4 linked regions of the Xenopus tropicalis genome follow. The protein of the gene in region 4 binds, or shares a complex with, the protein of the main gene of each other region. Links are inferred from orthologs where the notes say so. Each region holds a gene or a part of one and is shown on either strand. Other genes may lie near its edges. The genes, in order: pigy, pigc, pigp and pigq.

The links.
Region 1: pigq (region 4) and pigy share a complex: the UniProt entries of both Homo sapiens proteins name them as parts of the glycosylphosphatidylinositol-N-acetylglucosaminyltransferase (GPI-GnT) complex. The link is inferred for Xenopus tropicalis from reciprocal best matches to the Homo sapiens genes PIGQ and PIGY.
Region 2: pigq (region 4) and pigc share a complex: the UniProt entries of both Homo sapiens proteins name them as parts of the glycosylphosphatidylinositol-N-acetylglucosaminyltransferase (GPI-GnT) complex. The link is inferred for Xenopus tropicalis from reciprocal best matches to the Homo sapiens genes PIGQ and PIGC.
Region 3: pigq (region 4) and pigp share a complex: the UniProt entries of both Homo sapiens proteins name them as parts of the glycosylphosphatidylinositol-N-acetylglucosaminyltransferase (GPI-GnT) complex. The link is inferred for Xenopus tropicalis from reciprocal best matches to the Homo sapiens genes PIGQ and PIGP.

The regions. Positions count from the first base shown.
Region 1 is NC_030677.2:67,793,496-67,799,489, reverse strand, and holds pigy (phosphatidylinositol N-acetylglucosaminyltransferase subunit Y precursor), read left to right. Parts: upstream 1-2,373; 5' UTR 2,374-2,571; intron 2,572-3,553; exon of another isoform or gene 3,554-3,596; coding exon of another isoform or gene 3,597-3,814; intron 3,815-5,112; coding exon of another isoform or gene 5,113-5,263; 5' UTR 5,264-5,299; coding exon 5,300-5,515; 3' UTR 5,516-5,804; downstream 5,805-5,994. UniProt on the Homo sapiens protein: Part of the glycosylphosphatidylinositol-N-acetylglucosaminyltransferase (GPI-GnT) complex that catalyzes the transfer of N-acetylglucosamine from UDP-N-acetylglucosamine to phosphatidylinositol and participates in the first step of GPI biosynthesis.
Region 2 is NC_030680.2:107,289,737-107,295,883, reverse strand, and holds the start of pigc (phosphatidylinositol N-acetylglucosaminyltransferase subunit C), read right to left. Parts: upstream 4,008-6,147; 5' UTR 3,982-4,007; intron 1-3,981. Other genes in the region: suco (SUN domain-containing ossification factor), read left to right, coding at 4,535-4,584. UniProt on the Homo sapiens protein: Part of the glycosylphosphatidylinositol-N-acetylglucosaminyltransferase (GPI-GnT) complex that catalyzes the transfer of N-acetylglucosamine from UDP-N-acetylglucosamine to phosphatidylinositol and participates in the first step of GPI biosynthesis.
Region 3 is NC_030678.2:12,649,654-12,654,385, reverse strand, and holds the end of pigp (phosphatidylinositol N-acetylglucosaminyltransferase subunit P), read right to left. Parts: intron 4,566-4,732; coding exon 4,447-4,565; intron 2,468-4,446; coding exon 2,355-2,467; 3' UTR 1,406-2,354; downstream 1-1,405. UniProt on the Homo sapiens protein: Part of the glycosylphosphatidylinositol-N-acetylglucosaminyltransferase (GPI-GnT) complex that catalyzes the transfer of N-acetylglucosamine from UDP-N-acetylglucosamine to phosphatidylinositol and participates in the first step of GPI biosynthesis.
Region 4 is NC_030685.2:21,238,883-21,244,448, reverse strand, and holds part of pigq (phosphatidylinositol N-acetylglucosaminyltransferase subunit Q), read right to left. Parts: intron 5,444-5,566; coding exon 5,323-5,443; intron 4,977-5,322; coding exon 4,850-4,976; intron 4,680-4,849; coding exon 4,526-4,679; intron 2,750-4,525; coding exon 2,638-2,749; intron 2,545-2,637; coding exon 2,464-2,544; intron 1,004-2,463; coding exon 889-1,003; intron 312-888; coding exon 250-311; intron 1-249. UniProt on the Homo sapiens protein: Part of the glycosylphosphatidylinositol-N-acetylglucosaminyltransferase (GPI-GnT) complex that catalyzes the transfer of N-acetylglucosamine from UDP-N-acetylglucosamine to phosphatidylinositol and participates in the first step of GPI biosynthesis.

The sequences.
Region 1 (5,994 bases), on a different chromosome or scaffold from region 4:
GTCCGAACGCGGGTTTTCGTAATGATCAGTATTTTTGTGACTTTTTCATCACCGTCGCGACTTTTTCGTATGTCCCGCAATTTTTTCGTCGCCAATACGACTTTTTTGTCGCCGTCGCGAAAAAAACGGATTGGTTTTTCCGCCGTTTACTATTGCTCAATACGAAAAAATCACGACGCCGATGAAAAGACTCTTACATCAAGCGCATGTGCATAATGAGCTAGCGGGAAGACTGGAGAAAAACCCGATTGGCTGGGAGCCCCAGTGCACTTATGGAAGAAAAGGAGGATCCAGAGAGTACCTGGCTTTGGAGCCAAAACCAAGGGTGGGGTTGGCAGGTTTTTAAAGGGCCCCTGCTGCAGTGCCAGCCATAGAGAACCCGATCCAGAGGAACAGAGAGCAGCAGACAGGTGATTGCACTGCCAGTAACCAGAAAGGTTACAGAGTGCTCAGCTGGTTTTTGAGCTCCAGCCTAAATGGAGAGAGCATTCTGCATCTTGTTAAACTGCCAGTGGGTTTCTGTTGTTATCCTTGTATGTTCCCTGTGTGAGGGCAGGTGTTGATCGAGTGCCTGCAATGTGGAGCAACTGCCTATCCAAAGGGAGTGGTACTTTGGGGCAGGTAGCACTACAGGGGAAACTAAAGAACTCTTGGGGAAGGGACTTTGCCAGAGACTGAACTGGGAAAGGGTATTTCCACCAGGAAAGAAGTGTGGGACTGTGTCCTAGGAGAGACTGTGCCAAAAGTTTAGTTAAAATGCATGTTAAATGAAACATGCATTTCCCAAAGCAGGGTCATATTATTTGCCTTTTACAGTGATTACATTTTTCTAAATTGCTATATAAAGTTTATCTTTTCTGCAAACTGTGTGTGATTTATTTTTCTAGTGGAATCCCCCTGAGGTGTGCTCCTCAGTGACCACTAGGTGGAGGCACTGCACTGTAAAACCCAGTTCCCAGAAGTGAGTGTAATCCAATTTCTGCAGAAGTGTGCCAAAAATAGGTTACAGGGGAAAAATGAGAGGATGATAGGTGCACTTTAAAGCTTATTTCCTTTTAAATGGAATTTGGTTCAAGCTACAGACTTAAGCCCTACCTCCCGTTTTGCTGCCCCAAAAGCTTGCTAGCCCTAGCCTCCCATATGTTTGTGCCTGAAACTGTTTCCCTATTTAAGGGGTAGCTTAATTAAATAGAAAAGTCATTCCTGAAAAATCCCTTGCTAGTTACTGGCTTTTACTAATGAGGGACATTTAACAATGAGGTGCTCAAAAGACTTCTGCCCTTTTAGATCAGATTCTGTTCAGGCTACAGACTCTGACCTTATCTCCCAATTTGCTGACAAGTAGCTTGCTGGCCCTATCCTCCCCTTAGTCTGTGCATATAACTGCGTTACTATTCTTTCTTGGGATAGCTTGAGTTGAAGGAAAAATATTAGTGCAGGACCAAAACAGCTCCCTAGTGTTCTGTTAATTCAACCACATCGGATTGTCCTAACCAAATAGGTCCCTAAACTCCACCTAACCCAGAAAACAGTCAAGCCACCCAGGGCGCGCTGGCTTTCTATTAGGGATGCACCGAATGCACTTTTTTTTTAGCATATGCTAATTAGGATACGGAAGGGTTAAATTTCTAACTTCCGTGTTTATGTGACAAAAAGTCACGTGATTTTTAAGATTCGGATTCAGTTCTGCCAGGAGCCGAAAAAAGCATAATCTTGGCCAAATCCTGGATTCGGTGCGTCCCTACTTTCTATCCACTACCTGACATATAATGAATAGAGTTGCCTCCCAGCAGTTATTTTACAGGCCTGACCAATAAAACTGAAATTTGATTCCAACAGTACTAATAGACAAGATAGCTACCAACAAGAGAAGGAATGGTATTTTTTGTAGAAAAGGTGGCAACACTAACAGTAATTCACCAGCTTCTCTATGCACACTCATGACAACCAGCTCCCCTAATGATCAAATACCCCTTGCAGCCGGTTAGCCTGCTGCCATGTTGTTTTAATTACTGCTGGCTTAGAACAAACTGGCCATACACACATCAATAAAATCATACAAAACCTAGTCTCAAACAATTTTTGGACCGTGTGTGGTCTCAGAATAATCGCCCCCAAAGTTTGTCAGAAGAAGAACTGAACTTGTATGGAAAATAAGGAAGATAAGATCCAGCCACAGCAATGTAAAATGTCCCTGTGCACAGGAAATTGCAGCAGACAGAACAATCTTTATCTAGTGTCCATTTTAAGATATCTGTGTGTGTTCAACTCCCTCCCCACCACAGAAGCCCCCCCCCAGCTCCCTACCTGTCACATACCCCATCCGACTAGCTCCATACTCCCCCTGACTTCCTCCCTGTTTTATCCATGCTGTAGCTTTCTACCTTGTCTACTCCCTACTCTGTGATTCTTTGTGCTGCAGCATTCTATACTACCCGCAACCTGTTCAGTGCAGTATCAGACTGGGCTGCTGGGGTACTGGGAAAAAAACCTGTTGGTCCCCGGCGGGCCAGATCCCCTCCCCCAGGGCTCTCCCGCGATCCACCGTCACCCTCCCCCAACATACCGCAGGTAAGTTTCTTTTAGAAGCATGGTCGGAGGGTGTTTGGGGCCTCTGCAGGGGTTGGGGGGGGCTGGGGTTCCTGAGGCAGAAGCCCCAGTGAGCCCTGCACCCCCCAGCCCGACCCTGTTTCTGTGTCCTATAGGGTTCTCAATTTATTGCCCATGAACCTTTTCAATGATCTATATATATGCTGTGCCTTTCCAGCTTTCATTTGTATTTTGCCTGACGAAGGGGCCTGGGTGCTTCAACACAGGGTCAGACTGCGGAGTGAAGGGCCCACTGGGGCTCCCGCCCCAGGGGCCTTGTAGGTGCCCGTGCAGGGCCCCCCACCTGACATCCTCCCCCGAGCGTGTAAATTTAACACGTCAGGGGAGGAGCACTCGGGCAGGGGGAGCATCGGCAAGGGTCGGGTCTGGGCCGCCAGGGCCCACTTTTCCCGGTGTCCCAGCGGCCCAGTCCGACCCTGCTTGGACAGCTTGCAATTTTTCTTACTCAGCCAATAAAAGGTATCAGATTTTCTGCATTGTTTTTAATGGCTAACACAGTACAACATCTTAATTCCATAGGATTCCACAGTGAACAAAGCTTTTTGCTTTTAACAGGAATACTGTTACTGTATTCCTGTTTACCTATAACTTATTTTGAGCACTGTTAGAAATTAAATTGCTACCACCTGTCAGGCAATGTGGGCTGGTACCTGGTTTAACACAAATACAGAAGGAAAAATCGCCTGGCAGTGAATGGGTTACATATCTGTGATCGCAGGAATCAAAGGGCAAACCAGATTCAAGCAATAATATCAAGTAAAGGTAGTTTAACATTACAGAAAGACTTTAATCACAACTCTTTCAGATATATTTTGAGGGTTTTGCAGGCTGTGGGTTTATATAGTTACATGCACATGGTAGGAACCACTGAGACTGCTTTGTGTCGTGTGAGGGGCTGTTTATAGTGCTGCACAGGAAGAAGGGGTGGAATCGTTCCTGGGAAGTAAAGGTTGTGTGTCAGTCAGTTTCTGTGCAGAAAGTGGAACATGCTGGCTGTCAGGGCATGGGGAAGAACATATAATACCTTAGTCCAGCGGAAACTAAACGCTGCCTGTCCCACTGGCGCCCTGCCAGCTGTCACACTGCGGCCCTTGCACTGCTCTTTAGTTGCCAGATCCCCGGAACAGAGCCTGAAGGACAGCAAGACGTTTGATCCTACCCTCTTGCAATTCCTGGTCTGCCCTCTCTCAAGGAAATCGCTGAGGTAAAATACCTGGCACTGGGTTAAAGGGCTCTGATACAGTCAGTATACTGCTGCTGGGTGGGGGGGTCATTAAGATCACCTATGATCCTAAGCATTGCTTCCCCCCAGAGGTGCGGGCTACAATACAAGGATACTGCCCCCTGCAGTGCTGGGCTGCCCCTAGTTTGAGCAAAGTGTCCCATCAGACTTGGGTTTCTCTGACTTAAAGTTATAGCCACGTATTGTTCTATTTATAATTTCTAATTAATTACCCTTTAGAAAGACTATATTGATATTAACCATTAGCCAAATGTTAGGGCTTATATTGAAAATATCGCTGCTTATTTTTATTGAAAGGGGAACTACAGTTTATGAACCAAAATTTGTTAAAGAGCCCAACACAGAAACCCCTAATATACCTAGCACTGTAAACTGTTTCTTTCTGCTAAACCTTCTAACCTTCTTTCTGCATTATTTAAAATCCTGGGAAGAGGATTAAAGAAGAGGGACTAAAACACTGATGTTACAAATTGTAACAACTTCTCCACATCTTACAGACAGCACTCAGAAACTACATTACCCACAATGCATTGCCCAGTGATGTTATTTTCCCTATTCCTTATTATATGTGCGGGGAATTGTGGTAACTGGAGAAGGCAGGCTGAGGACAGTCTACTGCATTTTATTTGAGTCTCAAAGTAGTCAGTCAGGTCAGCAGGGGAACAGGGTGTCCCATACACCTAAGCCTGTACTCTGTATAGGGAAATATTCAGTTTATTAACAGCAAGCAGATGTCTCTTTGCTATTTCAAGCTTAACTAGAACTCCTAAATGCATTTTATATATATTATATATATATATATATATATATATATATATATATATATATATATATTGAAAAAAAGACCAGCAACACCGGATCTATTGCAAACAATCAATTATATATTGAAAAATACATGAACAGCCAACGTTACGTTTCGGTCTTGAGAAAGGTCCCGACGGGGACCGAAACGTAACGTTGGCTGTTCATGTATTTTTCAATATATAATCGATTGTTTGCAATAGATCCGGTGTTGCTGGTCTTTTTTTCAATATTTAAACTCTTTTACCGTGCACCCGGGACAAGGATTGAAGCGGTGTGCCACCCTTGGCTCGATATATATATATATATATATATATAATATTGATTATGGAATGACGCTTGTGGTTTGAAATGTACTGATTTTGGTGATCAAATTTCCCGACATTAAATATAAACGGCTGTGATTCCCCATTCATTGATCCAGATCTGATTGTTTATATGTCATTTTTTTTCCCTAGATATGAAGAATCTACCAATGAGTTAATTAATGACGAGCTGGGTATAGCTTACCCAATTGTTGATGGCATCCCAAATATGATACCACAGGATGCCCGCATGATTCATAAAGATCAGAAGCCTGAGAGCCCAGACACAGAGCAGACAACATAGTTTTTTGGATTTGTTCCTGCAAACAATAAAGAAGCCATGTTTTTCTCCCTCCCTGTGCTGACTGTGCTCATTCCTCTGGTGTCTTTGACAGGGTTATTATACTCTGCCTCAGTGGAAGAGGATTTCCCAAATGGATGCACCAGTACAGCAAGCTTGTGTTTTTACAGCCTTCTGCTTCCCATCACTTTGCCTGTCTATGTGTTTTTTCATTTGTGGACTTGGATGGGACTCAAGCTCTTTAGGCACAATTAATGCATAAATGAACAGAAAATATCTCATTCATCCTTCTGCTTTCAGATAAGATATGGAGAACATGTTTTCAGATTGGTCGGTTACAGCTTTGCATAGAAATATTAACATTTAATAGAAATAAAATGAATGTAATTGTTTTGATTTTTGTACTTTCCTTTCTATTTGAGCTCCTTTAAAGACTCTATTCCTAAAGGTACACTTACCTGGGTGCTGCCCCATTTGTAAGTTAATAGGAGCTGCTCTCTGGCAGCTTATGTGCTTAACAATAAAATTGAAAGCAAAAAATGCATCCTAGTTACTGATGCAATAATTGTCGGAGTGTGGGGTGCAGGGCTCACCGGGGCTGCCGCACGTGTAAATTAAAATTACTTTTAGCACGTTGGGGAAGGGAGATCTGGGGCCCAGTCCTACCCTGCTTGCTTTCTTTAAAGTCATTTAAAATCGTCATTCCAAGTCCCTTTTCTATATTATTATTGACA
Region 2 (6,147 bases), on a different chromosome or scaffold from region 4:
GCTTTATCAAAAGGTATAAGCACACACATGAATATGCAAGCATTTTTTCCCAACACTTGTATGACATCAAAAATGGATAATGCAGTTGGAATGGTGAGTGGCTAATTATCTGTAAAGAATAAACGTTTTTTGGCAGTCATTTAAGGCATCACCATTACCTCACAGTTAAACATTTTCCCACATTAATGTACTTTGTTTTCAGTTCACTCTGTTTATCTTAGTATCTGAGATTAAACTTAGGCAAGCATTTGTCATCCTTCTTATCATCAGGCTGACAAGCTAACTACGTGGCTTTGGTTAAGTAACTGAACATATTCTCAGATCTACCAATGCACCGATCAAAGTCTAGTGGTACAAATAACTGCTCCAACTCAGTCAGATGGATACTTTAGTCATGAACTTGATTCAATATTCATCTATGGATAAACTACCTGATAGCTACATAGATCCTGTTTACTACATTGGCCAAATGTACATTATTTTCACTCCAAATAAACAAAGGCTGACATGCTCCCATCTTAAGCTAGCCATACATTGCATTTTCGTATGGTTTTCAAACCGTGTGTGGGCTACGAATTAGTGTCCTGATAATTTTCATACCATAGCAATCAGTAATTTAGTCGATCGGACAGGTTAGAAAATTTAAGTTGGATGAAGATAAAATCTGTGCATCTGTGTCCTTGGGGGACCTAAAATGCATTCCCAGAAAGTTACTTTCATACGATTAGCCAACTTTCCCACATACAAAACATTGTCCAATGGCTTTATCCTACAATTTTAGTCTGAATTTTAGTTTTAGATCGTTGCATTTAAACATACAATGCATATCCGAATGTTCACTGGAAGAAGACTAAAATTTGATCATGTATGGCCATCTTAAAACTGGAGTGTACTTATAGAAGCCTTCACACTGCAGTGATGCCACATTTTGCTGCAACTGCAATTGTGCTTCAGACAATAATAAAGGCAACAAAGTGTGGGCCAATAGGAAGTGCTTTTGACTACAGCATTTGTAAGCTGTGGGGCTCAAGAGGTTTAGGGTGCCCTAAAATAATTCTGCTGCAAGCAAACAGATTATAAGCCTCTGTTCTATTTCTTGTACAAAAGCTAGTTTCATGAATTAACATGTAGAAGAACTTGGTATAATAAGATGTAACATTTTTATGTGAAGTGGAATATGCGCTATGTGCAATTCCGGCTCACTGAATAACAATGGGCAAATCTGCACAAGTGTGGTCACCCAAAGCAACAGTCAGCAATTTAAATTACCCAATTTGAAATCCCATTATCTCACAATGACAAAAGTCAAACTAACTCCTAATATTAGAGAAAATCAACACAGAAAATGTGGAATTTCTTTCTTCTGATCACACAAAAGATATGGTAAAAATAAAAGAAGCAATGTCCTACGCTACCTTTATAATACCATGAGCAAAATGCATATGCTTTAACAGCTTCATGGAATATGTTTCTCTTCTGAATTGTGTTTACTCTGGTGTGAGACAGGCAGGGGGTAGTGGCAGAGATTTACTGACCTGGAAATATTCTATTTGCAGATCAAAATGACCTGTGTTTTTAATCCTCCACCTGATAACAGCACTGCCACGTTGCACTGAGCTTTTTTCAAAGGTAGTTATGTTCTATGTACTTAATAAACAAAGCAGGCTAAACAGTAATCAAGAGACATTTTGCTAAATGTTAGTAGGCACATTTATTTTATAACGAAATGGAAAAGTAGAATACAATTTAATCTTTATGAAAACTTCAGACTCTTTATAATGTAAAAAAAAAAAAAAAAAATCAGTCAGATGAAGCTCAAAAGTAAACAATTTATTGTAAGTGACTTCTTTAGGTTTGCCATGTGGTATAATTAGTCTGGGCACTATTCCGGGCACCTTTGTTAATGGGAATAAATAACTATCTTGCTCTGGACTGCAGCTTATCAAATTTTTGTAGGAAGAAACCAGGTGTTGGTTCACACATTTGACATTGACATATACAGTACAATTCTTCTGCGGAGGAAGCATGCATATACATTGCCGGAACTACACTGCAAATCCATTAAGTAACATGGGTTGTTCTGACCAAACAGAGGGTCTTTTTCAAGTGTAAAAGATTCAAGGGACAAACACAGATTTAAAAAGGAAAATATATGTCTAAAACACATTGGCAAAAAATGAGCACAATAAAAAAAACAAAAAAAAAAAACAACTTATGCTTAAAGGAAAACTATACCCACAAACAATGTAGGTCTCTATAAAAATATATTGCATAAAACAACTCATATGTAAAACCCTGCTTCATCTAAATAAACCATTTTCATAAAAATATACTTTTTTTTAGCAATATGTGCTATTGGGTACTGCTAAATAGAAAATTACCATTTTAAGAAGTAATGGCCGCCTCCTTGGATCATAGTATTAACGGTGCACACAAACAAGCCAAGGCACACATACATGCTAGGCCACATCAGCCAATTATTGGGCAGAGTTCTGCCCATATTATTAACATAATATAAACTATCTGTTGGTTAAGTATTCATTCTGGAGGTATAGTTTTGCTTTAAAATGTATTTTGCCATATACTCCTAATTTTTTTCCATTATAAAGCACTGTTTGAAAAGCCCCTCCTTTATAGACAGGGCAATTTGTTCAGAGATCCTTATTTACCTTCAAACAAATATACAATCCCCTCCCTTCCCTAAGGTGCAGGGTTTGAACAGGAGCTTCTTAGTGGAACAGGAAGTGCTAAAATGAAACTGGTTTCCTTTTCTTATTTTTTTCTTAACGGTTTCTTCATTAAAACAACAGACCTAAGGAATGTATTAACCTGCCTATTACACAGTAACTTGGATAATTCCATCTAATGAAAGGCAACTGCTAAATTTTAGCCTTGCCTCAAACATAGGGGCTGATTTACTAACCCATGAATCCGAAGGGGAAAAATTCAGATTGGAAAACGAACATTTTGCGATTTTTTCGTCGCCGTTACGACTTTTCGTAAATTATCGCGACTTTTTCGTAACCATTACGACTTGCACGAATTGTCGCGACTTTTTCGTAGCCGTTACGATTTGCTCGTATCTTGTCGCGACTTTTTCGTATTGAGCGCTCGTAAACTGCGGGCAAAACTTTCAGACTTAGCATGATTTTGGAAGCCTCCCATAGGACTCAATGGCACTCTGCAGCTCCAACCCGGCCCAAGGGAAGTCTCCCATAGGGCTCAATGGCACTCTGCAGCTCCAACCTGGCCCAAGGAAAGTCTCCCATAGGGCTCAATGGCACTCTGCAGCTCCAACCTGGCCCAAGGAAAGTCTCCCATAGGGCTCAATGGCACTCTGCAGCTCCAACCCGGCTCCAAGACCCTTGATAATGATAATGGTCTTAGGAGGAGACCGAAACGTTGGCCTGTTTTAACAGCATGTTTAAATAAAAGTAACGTTTTAATCTTTAAAAAATATCCTGGTGTGCACCCAATTTTTGGATAATTAGACACATGGAGGTAGCACCCAGGTGATTTATATTAGGGGTTTGGTGTGCTGAAAATTTTGTGGACTGTAATATATATATATATATATATATATATATATATATAGATGAGAGAGAGAGAGAAGGAGCAAGACTACCAACTGGCAACTTAAGAGACAGTATATAAAGGAGGCAGCAGTTACATATTCAAGAGCTCACTTACAAAGTGCAGGGCTGTTGCAAACTACAATTTTGTACTTTTTTCCGCACACTACAGTAGCAAGCCTTTGACTTATGGAACCTACTTTCTGCCGTTCTGTGCGGACACCTACGCAGAGAAGCACTAGCCATATTCCCCCCACCCCATATGTCAAGGCTAATATTGTCGCAACAAACAAAATGAAATGTATAGCAAACCGCAGTGACAGTAGGCAGGTTACAATGTAGGGAAAAACAATGGAGAGACCCTGTGGGTAGCTACCAACTCAAAAGAAAGCTGCCAGTAAGTGGGTACCTGATTTCCTAAAGCCAGGCTTCCGCGTTTCTCCAGCCCCTTGCAACCTTTGGCTGAGCAGCCAATCAAGAGCGGTCGTATCTTGAAATGCTATTGGCTGTCAGAACCCTTTCACTAGAAACAGGAAAGGCCACAATAGTTGCCAGGGGCGCCTTGATTCCAATTCGCTTAACACGAGTCTCCGCCCCCAGTCCATTACAGAGGCCTTGTTGTTCAAAAGAGCTGAGGCATCCTTTCTGGACCAAACCAATGCATTTGAAGGGGGAGGGTTGTAAAGGCTACGTCTGATTCGCTAACCTCGGCCGGAGTGACGCGTCTCCTTCCGCCTAAGCTGGCTGTGCAGTTGGAGGCATTCGCAGGGGATCGGCCGCGTTGGAGGATTGTAGCGTGGTGTGGGCAGTGCTTTTACGAAGGGGAAGTAGGGGAAACAGTGGCACGGCTCTCCCCGGCGCCATACACCAACGGGGACATTTTCAATGGTGGCTTGTACGACTAGTGCTCATTAAAGTACACGGGAAATGCCAGCGAGGATGAGAAAATACGTCCGGGAAAGATGACGAAACGGGTGTTTATTATATTCTGCCTCTTTCTGGTTGGCTCATGGTGAGTGCTTAGGGCCCTGCGCCTGTCTGTTGGAGCGTAAATGCCCACATTGCTGTTACTCGCTGACAGGTAGTCTCGCTGTCATGTACCCTGAATGAAGGGGGGGGGGGGTCTCCCATCATTGTGTGAAAAGCAGTGTCCTAGGAGTCCTGGTCTTAGTATAAATGTAACACTATGCCATTACACCAACAATAATTTCACTTTTTCTTCATGTTCATATGGATGAATTAAATGGAATCTTCTCCTAAAATGTATAATGAAATTGTAATTCCCAGCAGCTTTACAGTATACATTGATTTAAAACACTCAGTGATTTTTAAGCTATTTCTAAATGTAATTGCTGGCTGAAAGTTGTAGCTGCCCTGCTGCTTATATTCTCTGCACTGCTGGCTGTGACTCCTGAAACAATGTAGCAGCATGCATGTCAAAGATTGCTTAGAGTTCTACTTTCTTTCATTATGCCAAAACCGTTTTGCCCCTTAAATAATAACTGGCTAGCTAAGAAAACTTTTCCTTTCGTTAGTACACAGAGAATACCTCTTGGCTTTTATTTTGGCAGAGCTTGAAAGCATAGTCCAGCAACATGTTTAGCTGAGAGATACCATCAGAAATAGTTTCTGTAGGACTTTCCCTAAATGACAGCTGTGTGTTATAATTGGAAGATCTGCAAATTGTGGGTCACAAGCTGCTTGTTATTGCCCCATGTTCATTTGTTGTAATGTATCTTCCTATGGGCTGTGATAAAAAAATTATTTTGAATATCTTTACATTTGCTCATTATATTTCTGACTGCCTATGATTATGAAAGACTTCTGTTTATAGTTATGCTGGGGGAACCAGAATTGGGTCTCATTGGTTTTCCCAGACCTGGAATATCCTGTATCTTTTATATTAAAGTCTTATTTGCATTTAATATAATTATTTTGATTTAGATTTTTATTCACTAGGGAATGCCTACACTGTCATAGATAGAAGTTGGAACTGCTGCTGAGTCAGATTGACAGCATTCTGTTGTATTTAGTTTCAGGGAATGTGATTATGAATGCAGCAGTTGGTATCATTTTAAGGGATGCCGGGGTTGGCAAATTCATATATTGACTAATGGGAAAAAAACTTTCTAATATACATTAATTGAAACTTTTCAGTGTTTTTAGGTTTATTTGCAAATGTAATTGCAATTCAAAGCAGGATGTGCATGGCTCCATATATCCACTACTTCGAACTGTGACTCCTGAAACTATGTATCAAAGGCAGCTGTTTAAAAGACCTGGATTAGAAGTGATTTCTGTTACATTGTTTCAAAAGTCAAAATCAGAAGAAAGTGCAAAGAACAGAAAATGATAATCAAATACTTTTTTTCAGTTACATTTACCAATAGTCAATAGTGAATAATTGAAAAATGTTTAGAATTACTTTTTTTTTTTTACAAAAACAGGTTTTTGTTGGTTGTCTCTTTTGACCCCATAGTATTTGGGACAGCTGCTGTCAGGGATTATCAACAACTGTTTTGCCATAGTAATGTAAGGGCTGAGCATAATAAAGTTAAATAAAGAGTTAAGCTTG
Region 3 (4,732 bases), on a different chromosome or scaffold from region 4:
TTTCACCTCCAAACTCGGGTCTATGTATAATATATTAAAAAAATATATATATATGTTTGTGTGCGTGTGTGAACTTCCCCTTTAAAAAAACAAATCACCCACACAGACTGTTTAGAATGCAGCAGAAGAATGATCTCTCCTTCAGAGACTTCAAAATCAAAGTGGCCGTTCTCATAGGGAGTTTTTATTGGTCCAGTCTGTCTAAAAAGGGGAAACCCTAATGGCTGATTCATCACTGATAGGATCTGACTGTGACTTACAGATCTTTCATCTAAAGAGCAGCCAAGGGTCTTTGTGTGTTTTTCCCAGAGGTTTCACCCTTGCAAACTAGGAAGGTAATGGTCACATATTAAACAGGTAAAATATATATCATTATATGTGTAGGGCACTCCATTGCCCCAGTGCAGCAAGGCAGACACTTACAGTTTATTCAATGGGCCACTCAGAGGGCTTGATGGAGGAAAGTGTATTTATATCATCACAAGTCCTGCATTTTCCTTTGCAAGGAGTCTCCTAATTGCATTACTATATAGCCAAGCTTATTATATTGTCAGATTAAGGTTTATAAAGATGTGCAGCCCCTGCCAATTCTACAGTGTGGCAGTTGGGGGCAGGAAGGCCTGCAGGCTCATTAAGGGACATGACAGAGGTAACTGGGGACACATTTGTATGCAACTATCTTTGAAGAAATAATTATCAGCATGGCTATATGCAGAGCTGGGCCAAATGCAATGGGCAAGCCCCCAGCCGTCATCTGCTAGCCAACCCCACCTCTCTGCTCACTGATTCTGATGCGCAGAGCCATAGAGGTATGGTGGCCATACACGGGACGATTCGCTTGTTTGGTGAGGTCGCCAAGCGAGCGGATCTTCTCCCGATATGTGGGAGATATTAGGCTAATTTGATCTTACGGCCCTAGGGCCAGATTCCATCGGATAAGGGAACGCATCAATGAGCCGATGTGGGGGGCCGGCTGGGGGTTCTTCTGGTATTCTGGCAGGCCCATGGACACTGCCAGAACTAGGGGGAGGCAGAAAAGGCACGTGCCTAGGGTGCAACAGTAAGGGGCACTAGGTAGGTACCTCTTCTGCCTACACCTAGTCTGAGCTCTCTTGCCCCACCTGCACTTGTCACTGCATGTCCCACCCACTTATCAAAGCACATATGCGTGCACTGAGGGGATTGGGGCCCCCTAGGGTGCCCGCACCATTTGGCCTACCTCTGAGGGTGAGAATCTTTAGGACCCTGAAATTCCATTTTTTAATCTCTGAAAGGTAAGCATGGTTGGTGGCATTGGAAAGGCTGCTTCAGGGTGCAGAATCGTACCTGGCCAGGCCAGTCCCACCCAGTTATTAAACCCCTTTAGAATATCATGTACATATAAATCATAAACATTCTCGTTTGCTATGTAGCACAGTGTTGCTTTAATGGATTTTGAATAAAACCAAGTGTGTTGAAATACAAATAGCAGGCCTCATGTTTGTATATACAGTGCAAATGACAATACTATAACGAAAGGGATAAAAGGCACGGCAGCTTCTCTGATCATACAGGAAAAACTTAAAGGGAAAGTCCACCTTTATATTAGCATTCAGTATGGATCCATTCTGAGCAAATTTGTAACTAGTCTCTATTAGTTATTTGGTATAGCTTGTCACAGAGAAACCTATCTAGTTTGCCATCTCTGACCCCACCAACCAGAAAAAGAAATCAATTTGGAGGGTTCAATTGTATTTGGGGTGGCCACCTGGCCAGTAAAAAAAATGCTCAAAGTTTTAATAGGAAAAAAACATAAAAAATCTAGGAAAGCCAGCATTTGTTTTTCCAGAAAAGGCAACAACCCTAATTTTACTGCTCTTATTTTTAGATGTTTATCTTTCTTTTCTAGCTCTCTCCTATTGATCTTCCATCATACTGATTTTTAAACTGCTAATTGGTTGCTAAGATCATTGAGCACTAGCAACCAGATAGCAGCTGAAATTCCAAGCCTCAGTGTTGCAGAGCAAAAAATGGTTTGTATGGGTTTTCAAAATGACAAATATTAAATAATCACTAATTGCAAACTGTCTTAGAATTCCAATAAAAGTGAATTTCAAGGTAAACTGCTTTTTTTTTTATATAGCAAGTGAAGTGGCAGCACAGTATAAATGTGACTGGGAGCATAGACCTCTGCAGAATCTGCTGTTCCCACATCTCCAAGTCTGCGCATTTGCACCTCTAAATAAAACACTTGCACCCATTGGTTTATGGGGCCCAAGTAAAAAAATAAATAAATAAAACACAGTCCAGAAATATATAGCTACATGAATTATCATAAAGAATGGGGTTTTGTGGGTCCGAAGGATCTTCCGGCATCATCTCTCAGTGAGGAAGAACATTTTATTAACCTCGCTGATGGAAATGTCCCTCAGTGCTGGGATGGCATCCTCTTGGCACGCCTTCTCTTGCTGATTTTTGGCATAAGAGTCTGGAAATTGTGGTAAAAATTTACAAATTACAACACTCAGTGGCACTGAAAGAACAGGTACCGCTGATCATCTATTAGCTCTGAGCGGCACTGGGAGTTCTTGAGGTTGCCCATAACTGCAATAAACTGCACTAGGATATTGGCCAATCTAGTGGCTGCTTTCAGTCTGTATACCCAGCATGCATTGCAATCCTTGGGCTGACAATGTAGCACCAAGGGAGGTTATTTACAGAATATATATATATATATATATATACAGTGGTGTGAAAAACTATTTGCCCCCTTCCTGATTTCTTATTCTTTTGCATGTTTGTCACACAAAATGTTTCTGCTCATCAAAAACCGTTAACTATTAGTCAAAGATAACATAATTGAACACAAAATGCAGTTTTTAAATGAAGGTTCACGTTATTAAGGGAGAAAAAAAACTCCAAATCTACATGGCCCTGTGTGAAAAAGTGATTGCCCCCCTTGTTAAAAAATAACTTAACTGTGGTTTATCAATTTCAATTTTCAATTTCAATATCAATTTCTGTAGTCACCCCCAGGCCTGATTACTGCCACACCTGTTTCAATCAAGAAATCACTTAAATAGGAGCTACCTGACACAGAGAAGTAGACCAAAAGCACCTCAAAAGCTAGACATCATGCCAAGATCCAAAGAAATTCAGGAACAAATGAGAACAAAAGTAATTGAGATCTGTCAGTCTGGTAAAGGTTATAAAACCATTTCTAAAGCTTTGGGACTCCAGCGAACCACAGTGAGAGCCATTATCCACAAATGGCAAAAACATGGAACAGTGGTGAACCTTCCCAGGAGTGGCCGGCCGACCAAAATTACCCCAAGAGCGCAGAGACAACTCATCCGAGAGGCCACAAAAGACCCCAGGACAACATCTAAAGAACTGCAGGCCTCACTTGCCTCAATTAAGGTCAGTGTTCACGACTCCACCATAAGAAAGAGACTGGGCAAAAACGGCCTGCATGGCAGATTTCCAAGGCGCAAACCACTTTTAAGCAAAAAGAACATTATGGCTCGTCTCAATTTGCTAAAAAACATCTCAATGATTGCCAAGACTTTTGGGAAAATACCTTGTGGACCGACGAGACAAAAGTTGAACTTTTTGGAAGGTGCGTGTCCCGTTACATCTGGCGTAAAAGTAACACAGCATTTCAGAAAAAGAACATCATACCAACAGTAAAATATGGTGGTGGTAGTGTGATGGTCTGGGGTTGTTTTGCTGCTTCAGGACCTGGAAGGCGTGCTGTGATAGATGGAACCATGAATTCTACTGTCTACCAAAAAATCCTGAAGGAGAATGTCTGGCCATCTGTTCGTCAACTCAAGCTGAAGCGATCTTGGGTGCTGCAGCAGGACAATGACCCAAAACACACCAGCAAATCCACCTCTGAATGGCTGAAGAAAAACAAAATGAAGACTTTGGAGTGGCCTAGTCAAAGTCCTGACCTGAATCCTATTGAGATGTTGTGGCATGACCTTAAAAAGGCGGTTCATGCTAGAAAACCCTCAAATAAAGCTGAATTACAACAATTCTGCAAAGATGAGTGGGCCAAAATTCCTCCAGAGCGCTGTAAAATACTTGTTGCAAGTTATCGCAAACGCTTGATTGCAGTTATTGCTGCTAAGGGTGGCCCAACCAGTTATTAGGTTCAGGGGGCAATTACTTTTTCACACAGGGCCATGTAGGTTTGGATTTTTTTTCTCCCTAAATAATAAAAACCCTCATTTAAAAACTGCATTTTGTGTTTACTTGTGTTATCTTTGACTAATAGTTAAATGTGTTTGATGATCAGAAACATTTTGTGTGACAAACATGCAAAAGAATAAGAAATCAGGAAGGGGGCAAATAGTTTTTCACACCACTGTATATATATATATATATATATATATATATATATATACACACACACACACATATACACTAGATTCTATATACTGTAGCCAGAGTCCCACTTACCTGTTACAGTGTGTATGGAGTCTAGGGGAGCAGTGCTCATCATGTTTATACCAAACAGAAAGATATAGGCGATGCCGAACACAACGAGGAGGTAGACGGGCACTGCCACAGCCCAATATCTATAAACACAATTTGTAAAAGAAACTGAAATGCCAGACAACAAAGGCATTACTATCAGTCTGCAATTACTATACTGTAGGTAGGACTTTGTGGCTGCACACAATATGTATCCTGTTATCCTACTGACATACTGTGCCACATTTACTAACAAATATGCTCTAATTTG
Region 4 (5,566 bases):
CTGGTCCGATTGCCATCTTGGAGTCAGGAAGGAATTTTTTCCCCTCTGAGGCAAATTAGAGAAGTTTCAGATGGGGTTTTTTGCCTTCCTCTGGATCAACTTGTAGTTAGGTAGGTTAGGTATAGGCATTATGGTTGAACTTGATGGACGTATGTCTTTTTTCAACCCAACTTACTATGTTACTATGTTACTATGTTACCTTACTAAAAGAAGCTGCCCCTTTTGAATGTAAAACAGAGTTGGCATTACCTGCATAAGCAGTCGAAGGGGCTTCCCAGTCTGTTGTTCCAGCATACGGAATTTTACACCAGCTTAAAAAAAAAAAACAGATAATGAATGAGCCAAGCATGTGTTTGAAATTTGTGGGGAAGATGCATACATGGGACAATTTCAGCTGGCAATATTGGTCCTTTAGACTGATTTGGCAGCTTATCTGCCAGTGTATGGGCACCAATGACGGGCCTCCTTGACCGACATAGGTAGGTATATCGGGAGAAGATCTGCTTGCTTGACAACCTCACCAAGTGAGCAGATTTTACAGTGTATGGCCACCTTTACAATACAATACCTTTACAATACAGATCAGGCCTGACCATTAGGAAACAGACTATTGGTGAACATGTGTTTTAAAGTTTTATGCTGCTAATAACTGCCTGCTGGCTCAGCAGCTCATAATGAGAGGTGAGTTCTTTTAACAGGCAGCCAGCATCTCCAGTGAAGCACCACTCTTCATATTCCTCTATGTTCCCTCTTCAGTTTTAGCAATGTGCAGCCAGCCCGAGGGAAGCCCCATACACATTTCCTGGCTTTTTTCAGTTACATGCTACAATCTGAGCAGCATAAACAGCAGGGTTTGCATCAAAGAGTTATTATACAAAAGCTGCTCACCTGCCAACCTGTACGACCTGCAGAGGCGCAAGACCATAGCATAAAGTGGGAGAGTGTTCAGCAGATCTACAATCAAATGGATGACACCCTGAACCAGGACCACAAGCAGACGTAGCTGTCCAAGACAAGTAAAATAAAAAGATGAAAGAGGTCCTACCAGATTACTTGACATACCAAGATGTTCCATTCCAATAATAATTTATAGTATGATTTCCCCTTTGTTCCAGCACTGTATTCCATTTATTCTTAGGGTTAGTGCCACACAGGGCTGATTCAGCCTCCTACCTTGCCTGCACCCGGAAGTATTGTCCAAGTGCAAGCAGACACTGTGGATATTGGCTGTGAAATGCAAACTCTTGCGTTTTTGGCTGGTATTCACCACATCTGTCTGCACTCAGGTGAACACAATGCTTCCGGGTGCAGGCATGGAGTCTGGTGCCAGCATAGGGGCTGATTCTCAGCCTGGATTTTTCTGCAGGCTGTGACACTAGCCTAAAAGTGATTCTGTGACACTAGCCTAAAAGTGATTCTGTCATGATTTTCACTCTACCATTTAAAATTTTATTCTTGAACCAACAAATGTATTTATTTTAGCTGTAATATTGGTGTGTAGGTGCCATCTCAGTGCATTGTGCCTGAGTCTGAGCTTTCAGAAGAAGCCTGCGCTACACATTAGGGCTCTGGCACACGGGGAGATGTAAGTCGAAATTGCCTCGCGAGGCAACTTCGGCGATTTGCTGAAATCGCCTGCGCAGTGTGTTCCATCCCACCTGCGACTTGCATTTTCGCTGGTGGGATGGTAGTTCGGGCAGATTAGTCGCCCGTGACAAGGAAGATTTGTCGCGGGCGACTAATCTCCCCGTGTGCCAGAGCCCTTAGAACTGCTTTCAGCTAACCTATTGTTTCTCCTACTCCCATGTAACTGGAGGAGTCCCAAGCTGGACTTGGATTTCTTACTATTGAGTGCTATTCTGATACCTACTGGGAGCTGCTATCTTGCTCCCTTCCCATTGTTCTGCTGATCGCCTACTGGGGGGGATATCACTCCAACCTGCAGTTCAGCAGTAAAGTGTGGCTGAAGCAGAGCACAGGTCACAAGGCAGTGGCACCCTGGGAAATGAAGAATATGGCTAGCCCCATGTGACATTTCAAAATTAAATATAAAAAAGTTTGTGTTTTTGAAAAACAGATTACAATGCAGGATTTTGCTAGAGAAGCTCTATTAACTGATGCGTTTTGAAAAAAACATGTTTTCCCATGACAGTATTTCTTTAAGATTCAATGTAATTGGCTCTGTTCTTCAGCGAATATTATATCACATAAAGTTTGATGCCTGGGCTTCCAAAAAAACAAAGGGGCAAATTTAGCAAACATCAAATTTCTTTGATGGTTACTCAAGTTAATATTTGCCATTTGGCTCTGGGCACACACCACTGGCAAGTGTATCTATGAGTCTATGTCCATGTAATCAGTCCTAAAACCACAAATTAGATGTCTATTATTTATTTAGCTATTGCATCAATGTGAAATGTTATTTTTAGGTTCAATATGTTTAGGTTTTAGATAAACACGTACCAGAGTAAATACCAGGTAATACAGGGCTGTGGTTGGCAGGAGAAACAGCAGGATTGTAAAGAGCAAGGTCCCAAGAAAAAGCTGCAATAGAAAAGAGCAGAGATAAGCCTGAGGTATAATCCTGTGCTGCACTATGTATGCTTTCCCTAGGCAGCTGCAACCAGGCCGAGGTACCTGATCCAAATCATAAGAGCAAGAGTCCACTCGCTGGCGAAGAACATTCCACTTCTTGCCCCGGAAGAGACGCCAGAGAGAAGAGAGTCCGTGCATCTTGAAGCAATACAGGCTAGTGTAAAAGAAGGGACAGTTTATCACTTGTACTCCCAGAATTTAAGAGACAGGGGATAGCACACTATAATGATACATAAGTAAAGTAGATGTTCTATGTAGCATTTCTACTGCAATAATCATAGTAATCATAATAACCATAAGGAAAAACATGGTGAGGCTCTTTTATAAACACTGCACGAATTTGCAGCTGGGCAGAAACCCATGACAAGCAAATATTTGCTTTTACTGTTCAGCCAGCAATCCAGCCACTGATTGGTTGCTATGGGTCACTGCCTGCGTGCAAATCTATCCATTGCGATACTTCATGCAAACTGGTTATGGAACGGAACCTATGGAGAAACTATTACAAAGGGTTCCAAATCTTACAATACACAATTCAGTAGGTATTAAAAGTAGTTTAGATGCCAGTTACAGATACTTCCAGCTCGTGTAGTTTACCGGGTGTCCAAACCTGGCTGCAAAATTCTCAGGCAAAAAGGTTTTATCTGCATTGTGTCCCTAAATATTATGGGATACTGCTTTTTCTAAAGCTCCTAAAGCAACCAATAGGTATACATAACCGTAGACACCTGTCACTTAAACATAATGTTGTCTTAAAGGGATGGTTCACCTTTTGAATTAACTTTTAGTATGATGTATAGCTTGATATTCTGAGCCAAGTTGCAATTGGTCTTTACTTTTTATTTTGTGTGTGTGTTTTTCTTTTTTTTTTAATTATTTAGCTTTTGGTTGAGCAGTTTGGAATTTTAGCAGCTACCTGGTTGCTAGTGTTCAAACTACCCTAGCAACCTGAAACTGGAATATAAATAGGAGAGTGGCTAAACAGAAGTAATAAAAAGTAGCAATAACAACAAAATTGGAGTCTCACAGACCAATAGTTTTTTGGCTACTGGGTCAGTGACCTCTATTTAAAAGCTGGAAAGAAGTAAAAAATAAAGACAATAGTTGTATAGAATCAGTCATTCTATAACATATTAAGTTAACTTAAAGGTGAACTACCTCTTTACATATCCCAGAGAGGGTTGGCATTACAAGGGATCGCAATGCTGTACAGACAAGTCTAGCTAAAACTCAGTTGCTCTTGCAAAGGCCCACCTTCCCAAGCTACACCATCTACAGTCCAAAATTGCAACTCTGCTCCTCTGTACTTGATTGTTAAGGGCAGATTGGAGCAGAAGGGTTAGAGTTTGCCATGTGTTTGTAGTTGAAGTCAGGACCAGGCAATCAGTGAACATTGCCAAAGAGCCTGTGACAGGAAGACAAAAATGGTATGGGGGACGGTGGGTAGTGGGCTTTGGGAATGATGCCTCTGCAGGGACCCTAAGTTGTATTCATTTCTTTCATTCTCCTTTAGCTACAATATTTACAATGGCAGTTAAGTTCTTCTAGACCAGTGATCCCCAACCAGTGGCTCATAAGCAACATTTTGCTCCCAGAGGCCCCAAAGTAGGTGCCCATTTTTAAATTTCTGGCTTGGAGGCAAGTTTTGGAAGCACAGAGACATAGTTTTACTCCAAGCAGAGCCTCCTGCAGGCCAGCAGTCCCCATAGGGCTACCAAATAGCCAATGACAGCCCTTATTTGGCATCCCCACAGAACTTTTTTTAATGCTTGTGTGGCTCCCCAACACTTTATACATCTGCGTGTGGCTCATAAGTAAAAAAGGTTGGGGATCCCTGGTCTAGACCCTAGATAAGTAGTATTTTATGAATATTAGTTAAGGCAAATTCAATACAAAATATTGCCTTAAAAGGCAATATTTGATCACTCACCGAGCTCCATAAACATAGAAACAATATATATGAAATGTAAGGAGGGCAATGATATCCGAGAGGATGGACAGAGCAACTGACAAGCCCAGACAGGCTGACAAGCCAATGTACCACAGGATGACTTCGATAAATGGGGACATCAGGCGAATGTAACCTGCGCAGGAATACAATTAGGAAAATATGTAGTATTAATAAAGTAAATGGGCTCAAGTCCAAACACATGCCTTTGCATTACTATCAGATTTGCTTTTAAGTTTTTATAAACCAAACAAAAGGGATAAAGGAAAGAATTAAAAATGAGAGAAGGAAATGGGTATAGCTTACTGATCCAGAGGTGGATATGGTACAAAAAGAAGCGTCCCAAGACTTCATCCAGAGCTCGGTTCATTTTTAATCCAGCCGGAGCACCCATAAGCCACTGCAGCAGCCCCTGCAGCTCCAAAGCAACACGCTAATGGGAAAAGAGAGACAGAAGGAAATTGGGATGCATGCTAACAATAAAAAACCTGATTAGTACTTTTTATTATTTTAAAGAGGGATGCGTTTTAACCATATGTCTTATGGGGCATTTGGTCACTGCTGCCTGTGCAAATGCCCCTCATCCCTTCTCACAGTAATTTGTATGAATTACTGTGATTTACACTTAAAATTAAATTTAGTCCGCCTACAACATGGTAAAAGTTCATTTAAAGGCAAACTTCCCCTTCAAAATGGGAGGTTATGTTTCTTAGCTGCTTACAAAAACATGAACCAAGGGTTTTGTGGGTTGAAATTCAGGTTCCCTGTGTATGACTTACATCAGCAACGGGCATGAGTGTGTCGGCCAGCTGACTGATTCGGTTCTCTCTGTACAGCCAGGACATCAGTAAAATCCCCAGGGCCATGTCTAATAGAATGGAAACGACAGTGTTGGACTTCCTGAAAAATAACAAGCAAATGGTACATTTATGCACTTTGGAGAGACATCTTGAGGAAGCAAGCAGACTAGCCAAGTGGCTTAAAGAGAGCACTAGGCAGGAGTCACGGGTGCTTTCTAGCTGC